Linked DNA regions of Saccharomyces cerevisiae S288C. Changing the gene in region 2 together with the main gene of any one other region gives a genetic interaction. Each region holds a gene or a part of one and is shown on either strand. Other genes may lie near its edges.

Region 1 (2,958 bases), on a different chromosome or scaffold from region 2:
ATATGCTATTCTTTTCGAGTCGTTATTGAAAGCAGCATTGTAATCTCTGTTATAAAGGTCAGATTTTACCGCCTGTATTTGTTCAGTTAACGGTGACTTTTCATTGTCTTGATCTTTTGGATATAGCTCTTCTAAGAATGTTATTTTAAAAAGATCGATTATTTCCTGTGGTGGAAGCGTTGATTTATTGTGAACGGGCAATTGGGCCACTTTTTTAGGATTCATGTTAATTGGAAACTGAGAAGAGTAATGATATTGTGAATAAATTGGTATATATTTAAAATATACTGAAGAAGTTAAAAAGGCAAAGCGTCTCATAAGCAACATCAAAAACGTGCAAAAAGAGACCCTGCGATGAGATGTACTCTAATTCAGAAAGAGAAAAAAAAAAAAAAAAAAAAAAAAAATAAAAATGCACTAAGGGCCCAATGGATTTCTTTTTTTGATATTGAATCATTCATTAAACATATTTATTAGGTTTAGAAGATTTTAATTATACAAAACTTATGCTCTATTTAAAATAATATTAATGAATTTATTCTTCGTCTTCTTCTTCGTCTTCTTCTGGAGTGACTTGGTAGAAGGCCAATCTGTATTCGTTGGTCTTGGTAGAGACAAATCTGATCCAGTCTCTCAATTGGTTCTTCTTCAAGTACTTCTTTGTCAAGTACTTCAAGTACTTACCAGAGAACTTGGCAGTGGAAACAACAGTAACAACGGTACCATCTTCAGTGACAGTGACAGCGTTACCCAAGTTACCGACAGCACCTTCGACCTTGATGTGGTCGATCAAGTACTTAGCGTAGGAAGCTGGGTCGAAGACACCGTTTTCAGTTGGAGAAGAGACATCGACGGTAAAGGTCTTGGCAATCTTTTGCTTTCTGGAAGTCTATATCAAAAAAATTAAAGATTGAAAATTAGTAAAAATTTTCAGAACAGTAATGTTAGTAAAAAACGAATATTTCACGATTTTCTTTCAATCCCGAAACCACAAAGTTGCCTACTGCTATTAACAATCACATATGACAATCTCAAACAAAAAAACATTCAGAAACGGATAAAAAGAAGGGAGTCGATATAGAGTTCAATGTTCAAGTAGTGAATTTTTAAAATACAGAAAAGCAACTAAACACATAGACGCTTCTTCGTTTCGTACATTTTTATTTTTTTTTTTTTGGTTTTACTATCTTCCTTGTTATTCGCGTACAATCAATCATTACAATAACAGTAAAACATAGACTTCGTAATCGGGCGTGGATTCCTTTTAAAGTATCATACGTTTGGGGCCATTGTTTCTTAATCTGTTGTTTTGGTGGTTTATAATTTGATAACGGTAAAGTACAGGTAAAGTTGTTAATCTCAATTAATAATGTACATATTGTATGCAGCTAAATGATAGTTTGAAACATTTTAGGAAATTCTCGGTAAGATTTGTTCGCGTGGCCTGTTGAGGATTTTTTCAAAAGAGAAGCGCACTGAGGTGGAAAGGAAAAACAAATTAACATAAATGTATGGATGTATTATTAAATGTACTGATGTTTATCAAAAAAACTGTCTTTGAAAGTTAAGTACAAGCTAAACATTTACTCAGTAGCGGTAGTAATATTATATAAAACATGGTAAACTTTAGTTGTGTTTCTATATATAGATATATATATGTGTCTATCTATCTATATAAGTTTTATAAATCAGTAAAAATTTTTGTTAGAACATTACATTATAGGAAGACTTCGGCATTAACCTCTACAAAGGATGCAGCGAATGGAACGTCGAAATTCATCATGACTTCAGGATGCAAGACACCCAAGTGGCCGATTTGCTTTGGCTCAGCGCCTTCTTTGGATCTGAACATGACCTTGGCACCTCTACCTGGGAAGTAGGTTTTCACAGAATCGTCTTCTTCAATCCAGTAACCTCTGCCAGAAGCAGCAGCACCGTAGTCTGCAATCCACTCTGTTCTAAAAGTTTGCATGATTTTACCCAATAACCCTTGAATGATTTCAAACCCAGAATTCTTACCCACGTAGATGGCAGCCCAGTGACGTTCATTGTACGCCTTCCTTTCTAGTTTGTCGTCTTTAAATACAACGTCACCGGTTTCAAAGACTTTGATTGGCAAGGAATGTTTTCTGTTTTCCTTGACTGTCTTTAAGATACCAGGCAATAAAGTGGTTCTAACAACTTGGTATTCCAAAGTCTTTGGGTTGGCCAATTTGACAGCTAAATCACCATTGTCGGATTGTCTTAGAAATTTAAAGTTTTCATCGTGCGAACATAAGGTCAATGGTAAAACCTCAACCCACGTGGCTTGAGAGGATGCAACTCTGAAAATATCAGAAACCTTGTTGATTGGTAATGGTTTGGCAATGAAGTTGGCATTGGATAATTTCTCACCCTTTGGCAAATTATTGAAACCATAACCGACAGCGGCATCTTCCATTATATCACAAGCGTGCAAAATATCAGGTCTAGTTACCGGAATGTCAACGTGCAAGATGTCCTTGTCTTCCTTTGATTGAACGGCATGCAACGACATCTTCTTTAGACAATGAGCAATTTCATCAGCGGATTGATCTAGGCCAAGACAGGAGTTGATGTACTTAATGGAGACATCCATAATTCTATCGTTGAAGTTTGGCGCCAAACGGGATTGGCCATTGTGTTCAGAGACAATTTCTACAGGCTCAACCGTGAATGGTTCGTCACAATAACGTGAGAACATTGTAGTTAATATGTTCAAAACGATCTCGGCTTTGGTCTTATCGGTGGCGGTTATATCAATCAAAATGTTACGGGTGTTCACAGAGATCTTCGAATGTTCACTATTGATTAATGGTGGCAGGGAGCAAACACGATCTTTGCTGTCCATAATAACTGGGAAGACTGGAGAATCCTCAATAATGTGAACGTATCTCCCTATGTTGTTTTTCTGTTCTGGAGATTTATAAAACTCGATCA
Region 2 (4,056 bases):
TGTTCAGCTGGTTGAGCCGATGGAAAAGATAATCTGATATTGCTATACACTTCGGCAGTGCATATCTCTGTGTATAGCTAGAATTCATCTTCAGAATGACGACGGTGCGTTTTAGTAGTTATGTTCTTTCAAACCTTTTTTTTTTCGTTTTATTATATTTTACTCTTTTCTACACAATATCGATAATGAATTACGAATTTGGTGCTTACCAAAAGGTTCAAAGATTACTATGCCGTAAAGTATGAAGAAAGGGAAATTTGTTCAATGCATCGCAAGTTTCATCAATTTTTCTTCTATGTGAGTGCTTTTAGCAACTGTTTGCAATAAAGAAACATAGGAGTTCTTACAGTTGCCAAGGTTCTGCATATGCAGTCATACGCTTGTGGCCGGTGAAAATTTGGGCGACCGCTGCCTAGAAAAGCAGCAAGTGAAATTAAATGAAGGAAAGAGGACGGTCGTTATACGTTAGGTTAACTGCATACGCTGTGTATCTGTGTGCAGAAGACAAATGCATATTATGTAATAGTAATGATACAATAGACTAAGAAATTTGAAGGATGAGATATATCACAAAGACGATGAAGGTGCAGAAACAAAATGTTTCAACCGTTCTTCAATGGCGGGCCGTTCCACAAGTGGAACATGGCCCAACTCAGTTTCCACGTCGAAGTCAAATATACGCAGGTTTTGTGCTTTTACGTAAGTGTCGGTATCACAACGTTTGGTTTCGTCAAAATAGCTTGATAATAGACATTGTAGAGGTACCAATCTTTCGCAAGGGTGATACTTCAGAGTTTTTGTTAACAAGTCAAGAGTATCGGGATCTTCGGCTTTGAATATTTCAGCCAAAGTAATGGGCTTGATATTGGGGAAAACATGGTCTTCATAATTTGGGTTCATTCCTGAAATTTCATCCTTTGTGGGTATGCCCATTATCTTAATAATTTCCACCAACTGATCTATACCGCTTTCACCAGAGAACAAGGGCTTGCCCAAAAGCAACTCAGCAATGACACAAGCGCTTGACCACACGTCGACCTGGTTTGAGTAATTAGTGGCACCAAACATGAGTTCGGGAGCCCTATAGTACCTTGAACAGATGTAAGACACATTAGGCTGATCCGGTTTCAAGCATTTGGCACTGCCAAAATCGCAAATCTTGAAAGAAAAAGTTGTCGGATCCACCAGTAGGTTTTGCGGTTTTATATCTCTGTGACAGATTCGAGGAACGTTATGCAAATAGTTTAAAGCTTTGAATAGTTGGTATGCATAGAATTTAATTTCAACACGCGGCATCTGCATTTTCAAATTAACAAAATGACGAAGCCTTTGGTATAACGACTGAGGCATGTAGTCCAAAACCAGATTGAGGTATACTTCATCTTCTTCGTCCTTTTCGTAAAAGTAGTACTGTAGACCCACAGTATTTGGATGGCACAACATCTTCATAGTTTCGAGCTCCCTATTTTTATATCTTCTATCTTGTAGTACTTTCTTTATGGCAACTTTTTGATTGGTCTCAATTATTACAGTCGTGACTACAACACCAAATGAACCATGGCCAACCACTTCTGTCGTAGGATAACTGATGTCGATAGTTCCTCCATGATTTTTTCGGTCGACATCAGTTTTGCGGTCATGTTTATAAACCCGTTTATGAACTAAACCTATGTTAGTATATAATGTGATTCCCATAAAAAATGGTAGTTGATGTAATATGGAAAAATGTTCCGCTATGCTTCCTGATATTTCGTAAGCAAGTTTCTAAGATTAGGGATGCAATTTCATAAATCTTTATTTTACACTCTCTTTTTTTTTCTTTTAATTATTTTTTTTTGTGTCGCGATACTATGAACTGACAGTAGTTCCACTATTCACTCCGGTTGTGACGAAAGAAACATTCCTCCACTGGCAAGAACATAAAAAAAAAAAATAAAAAATAATTATACATACTAGTCCTTTCCTTGGTTTTAATATACCTATAATCAAAATTAATCATTTTCTCAACCTTCTCTTTACTAAGCTTGCTACTAATATTTTCGTGCTTATTGGCAACTTTTCCATCTGTTTTACTGTCCGAGATATTGGCGTGTTCAATGTGATCAACTGCAATACCCTCCTTTCCCCCGTCTATCAGTTTAGATATTATAAGATTCTCTATGTCGTTGATGTACTCTGAACTGTTATTGAAATTAGGTACAGTATGGTGAACTTGAACGTCGCTTACCTTTTTGATTGTATCAGGCTTTCTCTTCTTCTTTTCTAGGGCAGTATTACTCTGTATAGATGTCTTGTGTTTTAGCTGAAGGTTATCTGAGTTATTGAAGGAAATCTTTCGCACTAGGCTTCTCAACACATCGGTCATAGTAGACTATTTTACAATTTTCACCTCTTCAATCTTGAGATTATTTTCAAGTCCCTTCCCCGCAGTATGGTAGAAACGGAAATACTTGTATGCAGCAGGGTTCTTATAGCACCAGTATTTTTTAGAGAATGCTTATTTAAGTTGCAAGATATAGCGACAAAAGGAGAACCAATCTTTCTCAGATCCGCCGCTGGAACAGCTCTCCGGTAGATCCTAACGGATAATGCTGCCCCTGGTTAGTTCCTCATCGGACGACTTTGCTCCCAGGGGCGGCCTTTGTCTTTCTCTTTTGCAGAATCAACTCTATTTTCCCCACCCCCCCGCTTTTTTTTTTTCATGTTCCTTTACCAATCTTTGAAAAATCACGAGATGGTGCATATTTGACAAGGAACGCTTAAAACATCGTGGAGTGAGTGTGGTAAAGGTAAACTGGTCATAGCGGAATTGGTCATAGCGGCGTAGTGCAGCGCAGCCACTAGGAGGATATGGTTTCCTTTCCTTCAATTTACTTGAGTATAAAATATCATAGTAAGCGAAACATTATACAACGATATGAGTCAAGATACAAAGGAGTATAGAGTTAAGAAAAATATAAAAATTGAAGTAGCTCATAGCTTGGAAGAGTCTAGGATGAAACTCTTGCCTTTTTCAATATTCTTGCGTAGCTCTTTGACCGCAGTATTAACGAGTTGTTCCTCTCTCGGAGACAGTTTTTCCAGAACACTGGTATCGATGGATACTACGCTACCATTTCTCAAAACAATTGGCAAGGAAAAATACTCAATAGAGTTGTCGCCAACTAATTGCTGCGCTTTCTTACCGTTTTTTAAGCCTGGTAAATAAACGAATGCGGAAAGTGACTCCGTTTCTGGTTTCTCATTATGGAAGCTCCTCAAAACTTCTTCAGCAAACTTGGCCCCCGCGAACGCCATGGACAACGTGGCGGAACCGGCGCCCTGTTTAGCTTTGACAATTTCATCACCTCCGAACTGGACCCTATGAATGAAGTGCTCGTACTGCTTATCAAGTTGAAATACCAGCGATTTGTCGGTGATTATTGGGATAATGGTTTCCCCTGAATGACCCCCAATAACAGTGACCTTTCTGTGCATTGTAGTTTTGTCTTGTTCTTGTCCAATTTTGGGGTTTTTTAGCATCAAATAATCTACCAAAAAGGTTTCTGCACGTACCAGGTCAAGGTTCGTCACACCCATAACGTTTCCAGGTTTGAACTTACCCATTTTCTTCAAAGTTTCCACAGCAATAGGGACCAAACTGTTTACAGGGTTTGAAATGACTAAAATCCTCGCATTTGGTGCGAACTTTCCAACAGCGGTTACCAGGCTTTTGACAATACCGGCGTTCATCTTGAACAAATCATCTCTAGTTAAACCGGGCTTTCTGGGAACACCAGCCGGTATTAGCACCACCTGAGCATTTGACAAGGTGTTCTCAATACTATCCTTATCATAACCGACACAACTTGAGTTGGTGTTGATGTGAGATAAATCCTTACCAATGCCTTCCGCAGCTCGGATATCGTACAACGCCAGCTCGGAAACGTAAGGGCTTAATTTTAGCAGTAATGATAGCGGTTGTCCCACGCCACCAGAAGCGCCAAGAATTGCGACTTTGACCATGTTTATGATTGTTTGTCTCTTTTTATTTTCTTTTGCACTGACAAGTGTTTT

What was found.
Region 1: mutations in MRK1 (region 2) and RPL22A together harm fitness more than expected from each alone (negative genetic interaction), as found in Saccharomyces cerevisiae (2 studies listed by BioGRID).

Annotation. Positions count from the first base shown.
Region 1 is NC_001144.5:261,526-264,483, reverse strand, and holds RPL22A (60S ribosomal protein eL22 RPL22A), read right to left. Parts: upstream 1,291-2,958; coding exon 1,279-1,290; intron 890-1,278; coding exon 536-889; downstream 1-535. Other genes in the region: BMT6 (25S rRNA (uracil2843-N3)-methyltransferase), read right to left, coding at 1-327; FRS1 (phenylalanine--tRNA ligase subunit beta), read right to left, coding at 1,718-2,958.
Region 2 is NC_001136.10:312,384-316,439, forward strand, and holds MRK1 (putative serine/threonine protein kinase MRK1), read right to left. Parts: upstream 2,366-4,056; coding exon 1,954-2,365; intron 1,662-1,953; coding exon 568-1,661; downstream 1-567. Other genes in the region: branched-chain-2-oxoacid decarboxylase THI3, read right to left, coding at 1-88; malate dehydrogenase MDH3, read right to left, coding at 2,974-4,005.